3 linked regions of the Stegostoma tigrinum genome follow. The protein of the gene in region 2 purifies or fractionates together with the protein of the main gene of each other region. This does not show direct contact. Links are inferred from orthologs where the notes say so. Each region holds a gene or a part of one and is shown on either strand. Other genes may lie near its edges.

Region 1 (7,480 bases), on a different chromosome or scaffold from region 2:
AAACTGTCAGCAATCCCTAAGCTATCAATGACTTAATGAGAAATTCCACAATGTTGATTTCCCCTGAACTGTAAAAATTATTGGCCAAAAATCATATTGATTGATGTGTAAGTGGAACTCTAATGGTAAACACACTTCATAATCATTGATACTTACTGGCCCTTATAAGCTCATTTTAATTTGGTAAAGGATTACATTCCTCCATTGTAGAAAAGAACGCCACTTCTTTTAATGTAACCCTACCCTCTAAATAAAACAACGATCTTTTAGGGCCATGCCTGGTCTAATCGCAGCCATTTATTTTTCCATCTGAAAATCCAAATTAAGAATAAAAGGCGATCAGTGCCTCTAACTTCCTACTTTGCCATCTGTGAGAATACCGCAGTATGATTGGCTATTTACCCTGCTTGTCCACATCACCGTTACTGAATATCATTCCGTCGACTTAATGCTAGATTTAAGCAGCCACAAAGAATCGGAAATCTGCCAAATACAAGATCGCTACCTTCGACTATTTGAGTACTCTGAGGTGAGCGCCGTTGCTTCATTGCCAACATCTCTGCGAATATTATTTTTCTCTTTGAAATATAACTGACACTTAATTCTTCCTCTGTGCTACTTATTAATAATTCTTCAACTTGATTGCAAACAATGCAAGGAACCTTATCTCCTTAATCAAAGAACCCATATCCCCTGAAGAGACCCGTCAGGTTTTCAAATGGTTAGATCAGAGGAACTTGCAGTTCACAGAAAGGTAAGTGCCGGCATCAATCTGCATTCGCCGCTGACCATAAAATACGGCCCTGCACATTCTTTCAGTCGTTTGTAGCCCTTATTCTTATTCCATCACATGGAGCCTATTGCGCCACCTTCAGGTTTTAAACAAGGGACAATAGCAATAAATCTTAAAGATGTTCTACGCAATTCAAGGGTGCGTATATGTTCTACTGCCACATCATCATTTGTTCAAAAGAGAAAAGCTTTCCGCCAAACAGCTGCATTTTTTTTCGTTTTTAGTGCAGGTCTCCTCTTGCAACTCAAAAAAACAAACAACCGTTCCCCCACCAAAGCCGCATATTCCTTTACTTCATAATTTAGGCAGTAAAAGCTGCTTTAAAATAATGCAAAATGAAGGAATTTCTAGGACAAAGCGTGTGTTTTTTTTTGCTGCTGCGTCCAGTCGGCTTAGGCCCAAGAATAAACAACATTAGGTAGATAAGTAAAATTGTGAACTGAGAATTGTCTATATGCTGAGTCAGAGTAACATTTTAACATTTCATCAGCTCACACACGATTCAAATCCCCCTGAAAACCGAGGCTTCCCTCTGCATCTTCAACAGATATGTTCCCAGGCTAATTTAAAGGGGGGGGGGGAGCTGCTGTCTTGTTTTCCCTTGATATTTCCTTCCAAAGTTGATTATTTCCCAGCAAATTCCTTGTAGAATAGAAGTGGTGCTTGCGGTTTGTGGGTGTTTTGTCTGTTGGGGGTGGGAGTCGTTGAGAAAGGGTCTGGGAGTAATCTGTCATCTCTCAAAAGATCCAGATCTGTGGAGGTCTTACATGAGAGAGAAACAAAAACTAGTTTGAAGGGGTGGTTTATGTATTCATTGGTGTGATACCAGAAACTTCGCATCGTTGGTCAATGCTCAGGTTAGCGTATTCCTCCTCAATATGTCTTGAACCAAAGAACACTCAGGATCGTGAAGCAAGTGCCACCATTCTGGCAATGTTCAGTCTCACCAGGAAGTCCCGTGGCGCACACATTTGTCCTTCCCACCTTCACCCAACATTCCGCGACCCTTCCTCAGTCAACTGGCCCGCTCCGCCCGTCTTCCTATCTCCCTGTCTCCCGCCCATCTCCATGGTTGACCCAGGAGAATCCGAACAACGGCAGATTCGCTCTCGAAAGGACAGTATTGGGAATCATGTTGTAAGAGAGAGAGAGAGCTGGCGTCGTGCTGTTAACCCCTAGCTTACCGGTTCCATAATGAATCCCTGGAGGAGAAGGTTGATATTCTGGAGGTGGAAGACCTCATGGTTTATTTCACACCGAATCCGACCTTAACATGAATGAAAGCAGCAGTGAGTTTGACTGGCCCCTTGGCGATCGAAATGGAGATCTTAATCGCAGTTTATTTTTGTAACAGCCTGGATTCACACGGGATTTACGAACGACTTCACCACCAATTTGAATGTGGAAAGGGAGGGGGTGTAGAGGGAGGGATAAAGTAGACATGACATAACCCCAGGACAAAGCTAGACAAGGTTTCTCTTTTCATCAATCTCTTTTAGAATTCTAAAAGTGATTTTATCTACTCATTTACAAGATCAAAGAGTATGCTGAGTTTTCTTTAAAGCGCCTAAAATGTTAAATGTATGCGTCAGTATCCTAGTTGACCGATTAATCTTCAGTTGGAACTTTCAGATTTCCGAAATGATATTGTGGTTATTTTTTTTTAAGTTTTCAAATACTTCTCGTACAAGAAGTTGATTATCGATGTAATGGGTCCAATCTCTAAATTTCTAAAGGTTCTGGAGATCGGTCAGAGAAAGGTATTGCGCGTCATGTTCTGAGGCGACTTTTAAAAAAAAATATACATTATTAATAATGTTTCTTAATAATGTGCGGAAGTCATTCGGGATATTTTGTGCCACGCCAGTAACTCAGCTGAGTGCTGCCGTTTCTTTCACCCCGTCTGCGGTGTTCAGTAACTTACCAAAACTGGAATTGATTTTCTTCCTGACCAAAGTTTGTAGGTAAGGTTTGTTGCCATTATATCATTTTCATCCCTGGGCTATACGGCAGCTTTCCCCTTCACAGTCTTGTTTTAGGTGATGATCGACAGTTAAGAAAATCTTGTTGATTCGAAACCAGCAATGGAGAGAAGAGAACTGTGATTCGTGTCCATATCCGTTCCTTGTGCTCTGTGGAAAGCTGGGAATCAGAAACGGAAGGAAAATCCACCATGTGAGCGGCATAAAATACAATGGAGAGAAATGTGGCTGACAGCAGAAACTCCAGGAAATCCAACTAATCCAACGGAAATAAGATATATCTGAAAAAACATGCCCTGGAGCTGCACATCTTCAATTTTTCACATCTAGCCAGTGGTCATCGTATACACCTATTAACAGCACGAAATTGTGTTTATAATAAACACACATGAGTGTTAAGTAAATGTAAACAATAGTTGTATTTTTAACAATATGCTGTTAATGATAAGGAGTGTAAAACCTTACTCAACATTAGGTGGACAAATGTCACCCTGCTAATTTTGTCCAATTTCGAAGTCAAATATCACGATTGTAGATGAACAGAAGATGTCAGGAAGCTAGGAGTAGAGAGGAAATCTTTCAACATTTCCAGCTCATTCTGTCACTGGAGATCGTGACTAGACTGTGACTTAACACCTTTTACCAATCTTTGCCCTGTCTTATTTCATGACACTATTTCTCTTTCCACGAATGCTGCCAGATCTGGCTTCTCTGGCATTTTCTGTAAATCTGTAAAATTTTCAGAATCTGCAATTTTTTTTGAGTTCTTAATAACTTTGCTGAAGGAAACTATCAATCCCAGATTTGGAATTAACAAATAATTACCTTCATTTTACATGTGTAGAGGAGAGTTTCATTGTTCTGCCACCCTTGTGTGTCCAAGAATTCCTCAGTATTATTCCTGAAAGACAGGTTCCAATTTATATATGGTACCCCCAGCGCTTGACTCCATCACAAGTGGAATTATATTCTCTATGCCCACTACATTTGTTCTCCTGAATACATTGCAAATTCCAACTAAATCACCACACAGCCTTCTAGATATCAAAGAATACAACCCTGGGTTTCTGTTATCAATCCTTGTAATTTGACATTTGGAGTCTACGGATTATTCTTGGAGAACAAAAACAAATTACTGAATAAACTCAACTGGACTCACTACATCAAAGCAGTGGTTACAAGAGGAGGTCAGAAGCTAGAACTATGCACTGAGTAACTCACCTCCTGACTGCTCAAAGCCTGTCCACCATCTGCAAAGCACAAGTCAGAAGAGTGATGGAATACTTCCCACTTACCTGGATGAGTGTAGCCCCAACAACACTCAAGAAACTTGCAACCATCCAGTACAAAGCAGCCTGCTAGATTGGCACTACACCCACAAGCATCCACTCCCTCCACCACTGCACAGTAGCAGCAGTGTGTACTATCTACAAGATGCACTGCAGAAATTCACGAAAGATCATCAGACAGCACCTTCCAAACCCACAGCCACTTCCATCTAGAAGGACAAGGGCAGCAGACGTATGGGAAGACCACCACTTCCAAGTTCCCCTCCAAGACACCCACCATCCCGACTTGGAAATATATTGCCGTTCCTTCACTGTTGCTGGGTCAAAGTCCTGGAATTCCTTCTCTAAAAGCACTGTGGGTCAACCAAAGCTGATGGACTGCAGCGGTTCAAGAAGATAGCTCAACACCACCTTCTCAAGGGCAACTAAGGAAAGGCAAGAAATGCTGGCCAGTCAGTTACGCCCACATCCCACAAATGGTTAGAAAAATATCACAGAATTGTTTCAGTGCAGAAGGAGGCCATCTGCCCATCGTGTCTGCACCACTTTTCGAATGAGCATCTCATTCGATGCCATTCTCCTGCCCACTCCCCACAGACCTGCATAACCTTCTTTTTCAAGTAATCAATATATTCACTTTTGAGTGCCTGAATTGAACCTACCTCCACTACAGTTTCCACCATTGCATTCCAGATAATAACCACTTAGTGAAAATGATTTTCTTCGTATCTTTTGCTTCTTTTACTAATTACTTTAAATCTGTATGCCCTCATTCTGGATCTTCTGTTGAGTCAAAATATTTTGTCTTGAATTCTTCTATCTGATAGGAAAATAGTCCCAACCTCTATAATATAGCTTTATAGATTAAATTCCTCATTCCTGAAACTATTCTCATAAACCCCATGCACTATCCCTAATTTTCTTTATATCTTTCCCTAAGGTGTGATGCCCAAAACTAGATGCAGTACTTCATTTGAGGTCAAACCAGTGTTTTTACAAATATTTAATGTGACATCTGTGTTCTTGTACTCAATGCCCCGATTAATAAAACCTCAAATATTGTATTTAAAAAAACTGCGGATGCTGGAAATCTGGAACAAAATAAGAAATTGTTGAAGAAACTCAGCAGGTCTGACAGCATCTGTGCAGAGAAAGTAGAGTTAACAATTTGGTTCTAGTAACCTTTCTTCAGAACTGGAATATTGTATTGGAATATTGGAATGCTAGCATACTGAATGCACGATTAACTATTCTTTTCTTCTGTTCAGCCACCTTGTATGGCTTATGCACATAGACACCTTGGAAAGGGTGCAATACACCCCAGAGTCTGGAAAAGTGAAAAAGACGCAGATAATACTGAAAATACTCCACAGGCAAGGGGGCCGGCACAGTGGCTCAGTGGTTAGCACTGCAGCCTCACAGCACCAGAGACCCAGGTTTGATTCCAGCCTCGGGCAACTCCCTGTGCAGAGTTTACACATTCTCCCCGTGTCTGCGTGGGTTTCCTCCGGGTGCTCCGGTTTCCTCCCACAGTCCAAAGATGTGCAGGCTAGGTTGATCGGCCATGCTAAATTGCCATAGTGTTCAGGGGTGTGTGGGTTATAGGGGAATGGGTCTGGGTGGGATGCTCCAAGGGGTGGTGTGGACTTGTTGGGCCGAAGGGCCTGTTTCCACACTGCAGAGAATCTAATCTAATCTAGTCTAATTGGTGTGTAACATCTGTGGAGATTAACAGAGTTAATGTTAAATTCTTGTAAAACATTGCTGCACTACTTTCAAGGCCATTTTACACTTCAAAAGATGCAGTACTCACAACTGTTCACATTACTCCAGTATGGACTAAAACAGAGTTTTGTAGCTGAAGGATAACTTTAACATTGTTTTATTCTAAATTTCAGGTTGTAAAACACATTTTGTTAGCAATTTTGATTAATTTTGAAACCTGTTTATGACATTTTAATGATCTATATATCTCAACCCCAACTCTGTTTGAATATGTACTTCCTAACAATTTATCATTTAGTTTCATTTTAGCCAGATTCAGATGATCTACTCTTTACAAACCCTTGCAGGTTATCTCGGACTGCTGAGAAGTTTCATATACCCTATCCTGAATGATTCAAACAGTTTGCCAGCAACAGATCTGAGACTATCTGGTCTAAAATTGGTTTATCTTTTTCACATTTTTGATTGATGTAATTAATTTGCATCTGCACAGGATGCATCTCAGGGTTCTTTAGCTTACATTCTTAGTAATCACATAATTTTCAGTTCCTTAGTTTCGTGTATGATATCTACTAGCATATATTTGCATATGATTTATCTGTTTAATTCATTGTGCTTTCTCAAAGCAAATTAGTTTACAAAGTTTCAATGAAACCTTTTCCAAAAATCTGATCATCTTCCTCAAATATTACTGCTTTTTTTTCCCCAAAAATGGTAAACTTTTTCTAAGTGCAATAAGATTCCTTTAATCCTAAAGCTACCCTTCCATTTGCATTGATGAGAATGACAAACTAACCTCATCATAGTACAGCTTTTCTATTCTTAACCATAGCCAACCTTATAAGCCAACATCTCGGTTGAATCTGATCCTAACACAATTGTTATGGATGATGGTAAGTGGCAAATTGATCTCTTGTATTCTCATCACGTTCTGTGTGTAAGCAGGTTGGTTTAATTTCGAATAGGCTATAATTTTTTCCTAAACTCCGATTTGTGAAGATTTTTTGAAAGCGACTCGCACAGCAACTCTGTTTAGGTTTAAATCAAGAGTGTTGTTCTATTAATTTCAAACCTAGGGCAGCCTTTTCAACTTCAGGCACACAAAGCATCCAAGAAAGAAATAAGAAAGGAAGAGTTTTCTAACTAAGAATAAATTTATACTAAAGAGTTTAGTGTTTAATAAAAGTCACGCAAATCAGAGTTGTCTTGACTTGTGAGTTAAAAGTTTATGTTAGTCTACGTGGCTGATGACAGGAGTTGCAGGATTCTGATAAAGTTGCTGATGAAGCAGCAAGATGGTGTTAGTGTAATGGGAGTTCTGGAGAAGGGTCACTGAACGCAAAACATTAACTCTCCTTTCTCTCCATAGATGCTGCCAGACCTGCTGAGTTTCTCAAATAGTTTCTGTTTTCGTTGGAAAAATGAAAATAGTCCACTTTGCAGGAATATATAGAGATCTTTTGGAACTAGATTTTTGAGGATATTTGATCAAGAGGTAGGCTTCGCTATCAGCCTGGAGCCTCTCAGCTTACTTTCAACAATCTGTTTGTCTGTCCCTTTTATTTCTCTCTCTCTCTCACACACATTCTCTGTGTCTCACTCTGTCTCTCTCTGGGCACTGTCTCTATGCACTCTATTCACTTCTCCCACCCTGTCATCAACATAATTACCACCCTTTCCTGGTTATTTTT
Region 2 (7,264 bases):
ATGAAGTTGGCTGGAAAGTTGCAGACATGAGGCAGAGCTTCTCTTTGCCCATGGAAAAGCTTCTCCCAATGCATGACTGGGCATGTGTTTAGTGCTCAAATTTGGAATCTCAAATCTTAATTTTAATTGCATGGAAAATGGAAAATAGTAAGACATAAGAAGTGGTGTACACTTTGGTTTGTGCCATTGGGAATAGCATGTTGTTGACAAAATTGCCTCTCAGAATCTACTCATCATCATGATTTCAGACACTGCTGCCACAATCTCCAAGCAAATCCTCTATTGATCCGGCTTACTAGCAAGCAAACTGCAGAACAGGTCTCAACCACCTTCATTTTCCCTTAAAGTGAAATTGCCAAAACATCATAATTTTATAAACGTCAGAATTAATATAAAAGATCATTTGAAAATTCCAGGATTCAGTTCTGGAACTGTGTACTAATCAGTTATTCTTAGGACATTCCCTGTTTCCTCTATCAGCAGACACTTGGCCGAGGACCTGCCTTTGAACTGAGCACAAATGGCCATACCTGCATATCAGATGTTTCTGAAATCCATCAATTAGTCTTCAATATGTGTTGCTTGCAAACAAACTAACAGGTCAAAATATTATTTATAATCAACTTCCATAACAGAGGTAAAACGAGAATCGCTAGAAGCAATGTAGGTCCTAGGAAAACCGATCATTGTAATTGCCAATAAAAATCATAAGGTGATGGATATTCTGAATAATCCATTATTAATTAGATTGGAAATGGTGCATGTCACTGTTGTTCGGGTTGATGGGAGAAATAACAGAACATGAAACAAAAATCACAGAATCGTCACAGCTCAGGAAGTGGCCATTTGGCCATTCATGGATAGACTGGCTCCCTAGAAGAGCATTACAACTTGGTGGCATTCTTCTACCACACCCCCCCACTCCCTGAATATTGCTTATATTCAATTATCACCCAAGGTCATCTCAAATGCCTCAACTGAAGCTGCCTCCACCAGTGTTCCAGACCATTACTGTTTGATACACAAGAAAGTCTGTTGGTCACATCACACTTGCTTTTGAAAATTACCTAATAACTGCACCCTCCTATCTCATCAGCTGGAAGTTTCTCCCTATCTACTCTGTCCAGATCAGCAATCCTTACATCTGCTGCCAGAAACATGTGTAAATCTTTAAACAAAGTTAGGCTGTAGATCAGCCATGACCTTGTCAAATTTTGCTCTTGTTATGATTTAGTGGCTTTGTAACGCTGAAGTACATTCTCTCATTTTACTAGCTAGATAGTAAAAGTAGTGCCTCTATAACTGGACTTTATTTCACAAGAGGATTCTACACATGTTCTTGGGTGATCTCACATTATTTCATTGGCAAATGTATTTCTTAACCTATTTTGTGCTTATTCCTATGTTCCAAGAGATCCAGAATAATTCCGTTTGGTAAGTGGATATTTGCTGGAGCATAACAATAATGATACTTTGATTTATTTCAAATTGTCCAGTGAATAATAGGATTAATTCGGTGCTTCCTGCAGCCTTAACTCCTTATCTGTGGATGGCTGAATACAAATACATTCAGTTTGACTTCCTGCAAAAGATTTGTTTAAATTGCACATGTTGATATGGATTAAACTTGAAAGATCTGAGGAGAGGGACACTACAGATGTTGAGGTTAAGGACAGATGTTTGATTACTCTAGGTCAAGTCAGTATAAGGAGTGGCGGTGGCGGGGGGTGGGGGGGGAGTGTTGGGTATTCTAAAAGGCATAAGGGCGGACAAGTCCCCAGGCCCAGACGGGATCTATCCCAGGTTTCTGAGGGACGTGAGAGAGGAAATAGCTAGGGCCTTAACAGATATCTTTGCAGCATCCTTGATCACGGGTGAGGTCCTGAAGGACTGGAGAATTGCTAATGCTGTCCCCTTGTTTAAGAAGGGTCCCAAGGATAATCCACGTAATTATAGACTGGTGAGCCTGACGTCAGTGGTGAGGAAGCTGCTGGAGAAGATATTGAGGGATAGGATCTATTTACATTTGGAAGAAAATGGGCTTACTAGTGATAGGCAGCATGGTTTTGTGCAGGGAAGGTCATGTCTTACCAATTTGATAGAATTTTTTGAGGAAGTGACAAAGTTGATAGATAATGCAAGGGCTGTAGATGCCATATGCATGGACTTCAGTAAGGCATTTGGTAAGGTTCCCCATGGTAGGCTGATGGAGAAAGTGAAGTTGCACAGGGTCCAGGGTGTACTGGCTAGATGGATAGAAAACTGGCTGGACAACAACAGACAGAGAGTTACAGTGGAAGGGAGTTTCTCAAAATGGAGAACTGTGACCAGTGGTGTCCCACAGGGATCCGTGTTGGGGCCACTGTTGTTTGTGATATACATAAATGATCTGGAGGAAAGTATAGATGGTCTGATTAGCAAGTTTGCAGATGACACTAAGATTGGTGGGATAGCAGATAGTGAACGGGTCTGTCAGAGAATGCAGCAGAATACAGATAGATTGGAGAAATGGCAGACGGAGTTCAATCCAGGCAAATGCGAGGTGATGCATTTTGAAAGAGTCAATTCAAGGCTGAACTATACGGTAAATGGAAATGTCCTGGGGAAACTTCATGCACAGAGAGATCTGGGTGCTCAGGTCCATTGTACCCCTGAAGGTGGCAATGCAGGTCGAAGGTCCATTGTACCCTGAAGGTGGCAACGAAGGTCGATAGAGTGATCAAGGAGGCATATGGCATGCTTTCATTCATCGTACAGGGTATTGAGTACAAGAGTTGCAGGTCATGCTACAGTTGTATAGGACTTTGGGTCGACCAAATTTGGAATACTGCCTACAGTTCTGGTCGCCAACTTACCAAAAGGACGTGGATGCTTTGGAGAGGGTGCAGAGGAGCTCAACAGGATGTTGCCTGGTATGGAGAGCACTAGCTTTGAAAAGAGGTTGAGTAAATTAGGATTATTTAGATTAGAAAGATGGGGGTTGAGGGGGCAACTGTTTGAGGTCCACAAAATAATGAGAGGTGGATACAAGAAGCTTCTTCCCAGAGTGGGGGGACTTAATTACCAGGGGTCACGATTTCAAGGTGAGAAGGAGATATGGGAAATTCTTTACACAGAGGGTGGTGAGTGCCCAGAATGCGTTGCCAGCAGAGGTGGTAGAGACAGGCACGAGAGCATCATTTACAATGTGCCTAGACAGATACATGAATGGGCAGGGAGCAGAGGGATACAGATCCTTGGAACATAGGCGACAGGTTTAGATAGAGGATATGGATCAGCGCAGGCTTGGAGGACTGAAGGGCCTGTTCCTGTGCTGTATTGTTCTTTGATCCTGCTTCTTACTAAGGTCCAAATACGGCTGGTTTAGAAGAAAACTCACTCACTAGTTCCAATTAGACATTGATCCTGAGACCATACAGCTATTTCTATTTTTTTCACTCGTGGGGCACAGGTGTTGCTGGTTGGCCAGCATTTATTTCCATTCCCTAGCTACCCTTGAGAAGGTAACGGTGAGCCGCTGCAGTCCACGTTCCGTCTGCTGATCCACAGTGCTCTTACGACGGGAATTCTAGGGGGAAAAGAAAACATTTGCCCATCCAGCCTTTCTGCTATTCAATACCATCATGGCTAATCAGGCTATGCTCTTAACTTACCCACCTGCTTCCATAACACTCGACTCCCTCGTACGTGGTTACAACTCGCTGGAGCAACACCAAGAAAATCGAGCCCCGTCACTCATGAAGTCTTCACAAAAGTTTTGATAAGCGTCTTTCGATTCGCGGTGATCGTCTCCATTGCTTCACAGACATGCACACTCAAAGCCAACATGTGCTGGACGGTGTATTTTTCTGAGGGGCGGGGGTAAAGGAGGCGGGAGTGACTCGCTATCCTTCACCATGATAAACTTTACCTTGCAAGCCAGCGGCTGCCGCTTCCTTCCTCCCGCTCACCCCACGGAACCAACACTGCTTCTGACAGCCGAAAATGGTCGTTGCTCGGCAACCACCTCAGCCATACGCACGCGCAGACTATCCTGAGAGCTTGCAGAAGGAGAATGGAAGGCTTGAGGAGAAGAGGCGATGTGAGGGGCGGGGCGGGTGAAGGACCGGCGCTGTTCGGGACGAAGGAGTGCGTACGTGCGCGCGGGTGGTTGGAGATGATCGGTGGGTCGTGCACGCGCGCTGGTTGGAAACGAGGCGCAGTCTGGTTTGTTCGACGGCCGGGGGGGTGGGGGGATTAGTACCATGACATACAGTAACAAAAAAAATCAGATCTGTAAGAGAGACTTCAGTTTACAGACATTAAATAAGGTCTCCAGAAAATTAAACGTTCTCCTTTCGCCTGTTTCTTTCCCCGGCTGTTGCGGTCATCGTCCGAAGCAGGTGCGTGATTTTTTTTATTATGTATTTGTCAAAGTTTGGAGCGTGAAGTGCATTCGTAGTGAAAAGTTTCTCTGCCTCGCTGTGCTGTCTGTCCACTAATGATATGGTCGCTAATACGAATTGATCGCCTTCCGTTTCGCTGTGGAGTGAGCAGTGTGTGGGTGGTGGAGGCCGGGACCGGGGCCTCGGTTAAAGCGAAGGAGGAAGCAGTAACCACAAGGAAACCTCAGATTTACCCAGTGGCCGCCCTAAACCTTCATAGATCTGACACAATAAATCACAGGGAAATCACCTGCACCGTGACAGACTCAGTGCCCTGACCCCTCAAAGACACCAACTCCATCCAACCACCTCACAGTTCACCCATCGCCTCTTGTCCGCTTCCACCCCCTCAATTCAGCCTCTAACTCTCATAAAACTGCTAATGCCTCCCAGTCCCTAACCTCCACACAACCCCATTATCCTCTCACCCACTCATACTCATCCCAACCGTGACACACAACCTCCAAATCGCCCCCCTTGATGCAGTCTTATTGGCCCCACACAACAGTCTCCCCCCTCAATCCACACAGCCGCATACTCCACAACTCCTATCTTTGTCCATTTCCCCGCACCATGCTCAAATGCATCCCTCCTCTACCCTCCCAAACATACTTGTTTTGTATTGACCGATATGGTTTGAAGGCTGGAGAAAGGAGTAGATTTTCTCTGTATACGGAATGATCATTTTCCTCTTTGCGTTGTTGTTTCATCTATGGAGCCACAGGGGTTTTTCTTTGCTCATTTGCATTATCTACGGTTAAATTTGTATTTGTGAAAGAAGTTATTGCTCTCCTGAAAATTGTAATTGCTAATTTCATGCAGGGCCAATAATTTACATTTTGGTTTACAAAAACCTTGCCTTATTAAAACAGCTGGAAATTTTTACTGATCAGGAATGAATTGCTTGTCAAGTTATTACATGACCCAGGGACACTGGTACACAATTTTTTTTTTACATTGCAAGTTTGTTATTTTATTTTCCCCCAAGATGCCTCCCTATGTAGTCAGCTTGATAGGGAGCTCCTCCTCACTGTGGACTTAAATTCTTGGCCAATCTCTGCCACACTTGGCCCACTGTAAGTTCCCCTGACTGTAATAGTAGACAATTAGCTCTAATGTCAAGGTAATTGCTTGTTTCAATTGCTATTCCCACATCCCCAGCCACAGGTTCACACTGGATTCCCTCCAGAAGCATGGAATTGTTATAGCACAGAAAGAGGCCATTTGGTCCAGCATGCATGCACTTTCCCTTCAAATGAGTGTCATAACTAGCCAATGTCCTACTTTTCCCCATTATTTTATCTTCGAGTGCTGCGTATTCCTTCAAATTCCTGAAAATTCTTGATTAACACTGCACTTCAACACTGAACAGCACAGGTTTATGTCGCAAGATGCAAATACTGTACTTGTGATTTGTTGCTCTGTTGCTTATGTTTCACAGTAATTATGATCAGTGTCAGTCTCCCCCTAATGCTGCTTTGGAGGGTCTCAGTCTCTTCTGTGTTTTGTTTTTGTTCTGGTTTGTCAGCATTATGTAAAGTCTGGTTACTACCCAGCAATGTACCACCTTGGACTGGCAGATACGTTGTTACTCCCAGGTCATGTGATGGCCTCTAACTTTGCCATCATCTTTACACTTCAACTGATCTATAGACCTCCTGGATCCTCACTCCAGCAGGAATTCCTGAGCTTTCTGTGATGCTGCTTCATTCTTTTGCACACTATTCCAAATTTGAAGAAGGGTTCATCAGTACTCTCTACTGATTCGATCAACTTGTGTCAGCTGTACCCCACTACAAGAATTATGGCTTTGACTTATGACTGCTATTATTACCTCAGCATTCCCTGTTTGTTCAAAAACAAAGTTGCTGGAAAAGCTCAGCAGGTCTGGCAGCATCTGTGTGGGAGAAAACAGAGTTAAAGTTTCGGGTCCGGTGACCCTTCCTCGGAACTGGACCCTAAATGTTAACTCTGTTTTCTCCTTCACAGATGCTGCCAGGTCTGCTGAGCTTTTCCAGCAACTTTGTTTTTGTTCCTGATTTTTCAGCAGTTCCTTTCATTTTTATTCCCTATTTGTTGCTGTTACATACGAGCTAACTAACAATACATAACCTGCTGACATGACAGAAGCTTTCCCAATATTCATTTGCATGTGTTCTTTACTTGATTGCTCAGTTGTGCACCCAGTGCTTCTTTCTACTTTGTTGTTTCCTTTTGTCTTTAAATTTTTTTTCTCTTTGCCAAACCTATACACTGTTCGTCTGTTATTAGACCTCCTTTCATTTCTGCTCTTTCAGGTACTCTGCCTTTCCCAGACCATACCTCAACCCTTCAGATGTCCCTATTCTTCTGCTGGCATCCCAGACTTGACTCCATCTGAGGTTAGCCAGCAATTTTTCTGTGTGCCTAACCTCCCATTTTTAAAAGGCTGCATCAATGCTATCATAGCCTCATAAGCAATGAACTCAGACTCGTCAACCTCAGTGCAGTCTTGCTAACTCCTTCACTCACCCAACATACTGGTTGGGAGTTGGTCTCACCGATTTCCTTTTTGTCCAACTTGCCTTGCCTGGTTCTTTGTGACAATAGACAATAGACAGTAGGTGCTGGAGTAGGCCATTTGGCCCTTCGAGCCAGCACTACCATTCATTATGATCATGGCTGATCATCCACAATCAGTATCCCCTTCCTGCCTTATCCCCATAACCCTTGATTCCACTATCTTTAAGAGCTCTATCCATCTCTTTCTTGAAAGTATCCAGAGTCTTGGCCTCCACTGCCTTCTGGCATATATCCACCACTCTCTGGGTGAAGAAATTTTTCCTCAACTCTGTTCTAAA
Region 3 (6,943 bases), on a different chromosome or scaffold from region 2:
CTGGACTTCCCATATAGATGGTCAAGGAGGCACAACAATGCCTCTTTTTTTTTCCCCCCCTGAGTTGCATGAGGAAATTTAGCATGTCCATAAAAGGTCCCTCACCAACTTCTACCAATGCACCATTGAAAGCATACTGTCCAAGTGCATAATGGTCTGGTATTGGAACTGCTCTGCCCAGGACAATAAGAAACCACAGAAGGTGGTGTGCACAGCCCAGACCATCACAGAAACCAAGCTTGCATCTACAGACTTCATTTACATGGCTCACTGCTGCACAAAGGCTGCCAACAAAGACCCACGGCACCCTAGCAATGATCTCCTACAACCTCTTCTGTCAGGAAGATACAGAAGCCTGAACACACACACCAGCAGGTTTAGGAACAGTTTCTGCCTGGCTATTACTAGATGAATGGACACTCTAACCTCAAATAACACTGATCTTACTAAACAAGAGTGATCAACTCTAAATGTTGATCTCACCTAGTACACACCCTGTGCAATATAACCTGAAGGTATCTGTCTAAGTATTTTTGATCTGTACATTGTTTGCTTACTATGATCTGCCTGTACCACTGAAACAAAACTTTTCACTGTGTTTCAGTACATAGGACAGTAAATAGAATCAAAACACCAGCAGCATGGTGGTTCAGTAGTAAGCACCACTGCCTCAGTGTCAAGGAACTAGGATTCTAGCCCTGAGCAACTGTGCAAACTCCACACACATTCTCCCCATGTCTGCACGCTTGCTGCCCACCTCTTCCCACCGCTCCCCACATCCCCCCCCACCCCCCACCCCCCCACCCCCACCACCACCCATGATCCGTTTTCCTCTCAGTCTAAAGATGTGTAGGTTACGTGGATTAGCCATGCAAAAAATTGGCCCATATAGTGTCCAGGGATGTGCGGGCTAGGTGGATTAGTCATGGCAAATAAAGTTCCAAGGATAGATTTGAGGGTGGTGTCAGACAGACACTCTTTGGAGGTTTGCTGTGAACTTGATGGGCTGAACGGTCTCTTCCAGACTCTAGGGAGTCTATGAAGATGGTCAATAAATAGCTCCTGTAGTAAGAGTTCTAGGATTCCCATGGTGGGGGAGGGGGGAAATAATGGTGTTTCACAGCTTGCATTTATATCATTGTTTAAAAACAAAACAAAAAAAGGATGGGGGAGAAAATACAAGAAAAATATAAAAATAAACAAAGACTTGCTCACTAAACTCAGTTCTCATGACCATGCTCCCTCAAGTCACATAAATCTCACCTGCTTAGTTAAAATCCACTGTTCGCAAGTGTAGCATTTTTATAGGACGAGCATTTCAATCAGTTGAGAAGGAAAAAATGGGGGAACCTTTTGGGCAAGTGCTCTTCAGAATTACTTCAAAAGTTTTCCAGTACTGAAACAGGCCATTCAATCTAAAGTGTTCCAAATAAATGCTTTATGCTCCATACGAGTCTCAGCTCACTATCAGCATACTCATCTATTCCCTTCCTCCTCTGGTGTTGTTTCAGTAGCTTGTAGTATACACCTCACTATACCCGAACACACATTCTTAGGGTAACAAAGCTTTTCCTCAAATTCCCTAATAGATCTATTACTTAATTAATATTTAGTACCAGAGTTCCAAAGAGGAGACTACAGGTGGAAGGTATAACATTTTCTACCTCAGATGAGAGCCATACAACTGCAAAGTGTACTTTCAAACATTTCAAGAAAATCACCAAAACACAGAAACTGTGCTTCAATTTAAAGAAAGAAGGGAAGAGAGAGGGAAAAGGTGAACAGAAGTCACTGATATCACAGTCCTTCTGTTATAGAGAATGGTGTAGCACAAATTTAGGCCATTTAGCTGAACTGATTGTATGCTAGTGATCATGCTTCTCCCAACTCATCAATATATCCTTCTATTTCTTTCTCAGTTCACTTGTATATTTAGTTTCCCTTTAAATGCATTCACGGTAGTTATGTCAACCACTTACTGGAGGTTAGAATTCCACTTTCAGATGTTCGCTGACCTACTTGTAATTTTCACATTTTATAGTCCTTAGTTCTTGGTTATGTGCCTTTCCTTTTTAAGGAAGGACAATTTTCGAACGAAAAAGGAGCTGAAAGGCCCAGAAATGTGGCCTCCCTGATGAACAATTATGCAGCAACAAAGCATTTTCATAAAATACCACTCTTTTACCGTGCATAGTTTTGAGAAGCACTGCAGCCGAGTAGAATGGACAAAATAAGGGATAAGGGATGAGAAATAAAATAATTACTTTAAGATTTAGTTTGCTTTTAGATGAATCTTATGTGCCAAGATGATATTAGAAAGCCTCAACTCTGTTTCCAGTAGGAGGTTCATTAAGCAGATTTGTTTTAAGATAAAACGGAAAAATAGCAAGAGGAGATTGGTTTTGCTTTGGGTCTCCAAAGCATTGTTCAGATTCAATAGTAACTTTCAGAAAAAAAAAGGGAAGAGTTCTTCATGGCCCTGGGTAAACGTAGGCACAACAAACCAAATGGTTGCCTCGTGTTTTGTCATTCCCAAAACAATACCACAGCTCAACAGGTACAAGGGGTTCACAATTCAAACATGCACACTGGACAGTTTCCAGAAAATAGCTGAAAATATTAACACAGATTAAGAATTATTTGACTAAAAGCTTTACATGATACATACAGCTGGTGTTGAAAAAAATTAGTTGCCATCCCAACAATTAATCTCTTCGAGATCATTACATTAATTTAAACTAAACTACAACAGCATGCAATTGTTAGTCTGAATTTTCCAACTACCAGGAGAAGCGAACTGTGAACAATTACAAGATTGAAAAGAAACAAACTACGGGGACTGACCATCAAGCATTAATGAAAAACAGTGACAGTAGCTTAGAAAGACTCACAAGACCACTGTAGAGCTTGAACGAATGCACTAAATTGGCCCATTTTCGCTGCAGCGTTTGGATAGACTTCATACTGAGATGCAACACTACACGGTTGCAATCGCCTACAACTAGTCAGTCCTCGCACCGAGAATCATCCATTTCCAGAAACCATCAAGCTAGATTATGCAAGCTTAATACATCGCTGCCCTACATGTAGCGCAAATCCTGCCTGTTACAATTGTGCTGGGAAGGCAAAACAGCCCATTCAGGACACAAGTCAGTCACAATCAGAACCTTGGCCGCCACACTGAATTTAGCACATTTTACATTGTACATACTAAGTAGGGCGATACTGCACAAGAATGGAAGAGTAATGCTAATCTCATCCAATTTTGAAAAGTATGTATGTGTTTTCTACTAGCCATTAACTTCAAAAAGGAAGTTGTTTTTTTCTTACATCCACTGTTATGAAAAAGAAACAAACACTCAGTGTTACAACAAGTGGGATTAAGCCTGCGAACTGGAGGAATGAGACAGGGCTCCACATTAACCATTCATTGTCCACTTGGTTGATTCAGGCTTGCAAACAAATCCAGTTTGCTTTCAGCTCAGAAAGAATTTCCAGAAACAAAAATAAACAAACTTTCTATTAGACACCTGAAACTTAGCCTGTAAAATTTCACTTCAGGCTCAGTTCAAAAACAAGATACCTTGACAAATCAGAAGAAAGCTGGTTACAGGTTAAGGAGTATCAACCTCAACTCTTGCGGCGGTAGTGGTTTGGTTTGGTTTGGTTTGTGGTCACCCGATGTGGTGTATACAAAAAGGTGGAATCCCTCTTTCCCCCCCACTGCGTGCCCCCACCCCAAAGTGGGCCAAAAAGTGGATCAATCAAAAATTTCAAAAGCAGAGATTTCAAGAGAAGGTTATCAAGGAGGTGCAGAACAGGGCAAGTGGATGGTGTTACGATACAGATAAACCGTGATCTTGCTGAATGTTAGGCCCAAAGAGGTCTGATTAGCCCCCTCCTTTTCCTACTTATATAGCAACTGCTAAGCCATTAAAACCAAAATAACCGTGGATGCTGTAAATCAGGAACAAAAACAAAAAGTTGCTGGTAAAGCCCAGCAGGTCTGGCAGCATCTGTGAAGGAAAAACCAAAGAGTTAAATGTTTCAGGCTTGGTGACCCTTCCTCAGAAGGAAGTGCTACTGCTAGGCCATGTTTGATTAGGTTCCTCACCAGCTTCCACATCTTTCAGCACCTTACTTTATAAGCTACTGCTACAAACAATTGTATTTCTGCACAATTTACACATTAATATGCTGCCTTGGTCCCAAGTTGGCCAGACTTCATTAAACACTCTGGAAAGCAGAAGGCTACCAAAATTTAAACAAAACAGGTAGCTCAGTGATTTTGTTAAACTGGGAGAACTGACAACAGAATAATGCATGGCTTTCCTTAGTTGTACTTTTAAAATTGTACCACAAAAAGGAGGGAAAAAAAAACAGGTTGGAGCTGTTTTAGGACAATATTTCATTAAAATGATCTTTATTATATGTGTGGCTGATAGAAAGCTTGCAGAAATTTGTGAGTTTCCAATGGATTTGGAAGTAGAGCCTTGCCCAGCCTATTTCATTTATGCACGAGGAACAGGGGGTGGCTATTCTGTCCTCTCAAGCCGGTTCCACTATTTAACTAAGATCATGGTTGATCTGCATTTCAACTCGGAACCATGGCATGCAGACACAATTAAAATACCTAGAGATGCTTGGTAGTGAGTGAGTGTGTAGAGGGATCTTGGTGTCCATGTACATAGATCCCTGAAAGTTGCCACCCAGGTTGATAGTGCTGTTAAGAACGCTTATGGAGTGTTCGGTTTTATTGGTAGAGGGATTGAGTTCCGGAGCTGTGGTGTCATGCTGCAACTGTACAAAACGCTGGTGCGGCCTCATTTGGAATACTGCATGCAGTTCTGGTCGCCCCATTACAGGGAGGATGTGAAAGCACTGGAAAAAGTGCAGAGGAGATTTACCAGGATGTTGCCTGGTCTGGAGCACAGGCCCCATGAAGAAAGGCTGAGGGACTTGGGTCTGTTCTCATTTGAGAGAAGGAGGCTAAGAGGGGATTTAATAGAGACATACAAGATGATCAGAGGATTAGATAGGGTGGACCGTGACAGTCTTTTTCCGAGGATGACGACTTCAGCTTGTACAAGAGGGCATAGCTACAAATTGAGGGGTGATAGATTTAAGACAGATATCAGAGGCAGGTTCTTTACTCAGTGCCAAGGATGTGGAACACCCTGCCTGCCAATATAGCTAAACTCAGCCACATTAGGGGCATTTAAACAGTCCTTGGATAAGCAGATGGATGATGGGATAGTGTAGGGGAATGGGCTTAGATTACTTCACAGGTCGGCGCAACAGAGGATTGAAGGGCCTGTTCTGCGCTATATTGTTCTATGTTCTATGAACACAAAATTGAACCCTACGCTCAAACAGGTTTTTGTAAAAAAAAAAGGAGTGGGCATACAAAGATCAGGCAGTCTGCTAGTAAATGCTATTTCTTTAGTGACAGTATCAAAAGCTCCATCTCCCAAATCCACTAACATCATAACAAGCGGTTCTCACTACAGAAATAGAATACAAGCCAAAAATCAAGCATTTTGGTAGGGAACACACGTCATACTAATACTTTGTAGCATAATCCATATTTAAAAAGGCACAACCAAAAAAGGACCTTTTTTTGAACGAGATCATCCAAAACTTGGATGAACTTGTAATGACACTAATCTTCTAATCCAAAACACATTTGGAACCCATTTTTTAAAAAAAACTCACTGCAGTTGGGTGTATTTCTGGACCAAAGATGAAACTATTTTTCCAGCTATGAATAAACATATCTGTTGATAACAAAAGCACAAAGTTTCACCTCAACTGTTGAACTCAAATGTGAACTGAAAATGTCACCATTTCCAAAGAAAACAGGAATAATCTTCCAACTGTCTGATGAATTGATAGCCAAAAATAAAGAAGCAATAGCAAGCACAGTTGGTGGTGAACCGCACAGCGTGGAGTTTGGTTTTATTCAAATAAATTTTGTTTTCAGCTTTATGCTGTGGAGTCTTGGAAATTGACTGTCAGGGAGGTTAGCAAGAACACGGTTTGAAAACAATCATTAGGTTTCAGCTAGGGAACTGCATCCAATTCTGCACATAAAACTATTAGGAAGGATGTGAAGACTTCAGGGAGAAGGAGAATGGAGAGGAACCTGGTGTCAACTTTACAACATATAAACAGGCCATTCAGCCTAACTCATCCAAAGGCAAACGACCTCAGTAAAGCAGATTGCAAACAGGAGGCTAAAATAGTATCAGAGATAATGGGAACTGCAGATGCTGGAGATTCCAAGATAATAAAATGTGAGGCTGGACAAACACAGCAGGCCAAGCAGCATCTCAGGAGCACAAAAGCTGACGTTTCGGGCCTAGACCCTAGAGCTCTCTGATGAAGGGTCTAGGCCCGAAACGTCAGCTTTTGTGCTCCTGAGATGCTGCTTGGCCTGCTGTGTTCGTCCAGCCTCACATTTTATTATCTTGCAAACAGGAGGCTATGGGGAGATGTGATAGACGTGCTTATAGTGTAACTAAAAAAGAAACTCCTTTCAATGGCAAGATGATCAGTAACCAGAGAGCAGAGATTTGAAAGGTTAACTTTAAGAGGAGTAAATATTTAGTTAGTGTGGCAAACAGTGATTAGGAATGCACTGACTGAGGATATTTTGAATCAAAATTAAACTTCCAAACAAAGAGATCAGAGTTAGTAATCAAATTTGATAGTTCTATGAAAGAGCCAGCACAGGCTCAAAATGGATTGAGTGGCTTTCCTTCTGTTTCGTCATCAATTCCATCAAAGAGAAATTTAAAACAAAATTATTCATTTTCCACACAGTAATCAGATAAAGACTACAGTTCTCGCCAATAGCTAGGATTTTTTGCAGACCACCTGCCATTTTTTGTGGCCTTAGAAGCATTCACTAATGCAAAACAAAACTGCTGCAACAAACAAT

The links.
Region 1: the proteins of arhgap12b (region 2) and arf-GAP with SH3 domain, ANK repeat and PH domain-containing protein 1-like purify together in Homo sapiens (co-immunoprecipitation; 3 studies listed by BioGRID and IntAct, with this or other methods). This does not show direct contact. The link is inferred for Stegostoma tigrinum from reciprocal best matches to the Homo sapiens genes ARHGAP12 and ASAP1.
Region 3: the proteins of arhgap12b (region 2) and tight junction protein ZO-2-like purify together in Homo sapiens (co-immunoprecipitation; 3 studies listed by BioGRID and IntAct, with this or other methods). This does not show direct contact. The link is inferred for Stegostoma tigrinum from reciprocal best matches to the Homo sapiens genes ARHGAP12 and TJP2.

Annotation. Positions count from the first base shown.
Region 1 is NC_081358.1:50,931,482-50,938,961, forward strand, and holds the start of arf-GAP with SH3 domain, ANK repeat and PH domain-containing protein 1-like, read right to left. Parts: upstream 3,030-7,480; 5' UTR 2,718-3,029; intron 2,080-2,717; exon of another isoform or gene 2,061-2,079; 5' UTR 2,037-2,060; coding exon 1,978-2,036; intron 1-1,977. UniProt on the Homo sapiens protein: Possesses phosphatidylinositol 4,5-bisphosphate-dependent GTPase-activating protein activity for ARF1 (ADP ribosylation factor 1) and ARF5 and a lesser activity towards ARF6.
Region 2 is NC_081355.1:127,967,708-127,974,971, reverse strand, and holds the start of arhgap12b (rho GTPase-activating protein 12b), read left to right. Parts: upstream 1-4,173; 5' UTR 4,174-4,382; intron 4,383-7,264. UniProt on the Homo sapiens protein: GTPase activator for the Rho-type GTPases by converting them to an inactive GDP-bound state.
Region 3 is NC_081356.1:27,980,738-27,987,680, reverse strand, and holds the start of tight junction protein ZO-2-like, read right to left. Parts: upstream 3,087-6,943; 5' UTR 2,964-3,086; coding exon 2,892-2,963; intron 1-2,891. UniProt on the Homo sapiens protein: Plays a role in tight junctions and adherens junctions. Acts as a positive regulator of RANKL-induced osteoclast differentiation, potentially via mediating downstream transcriptional activity.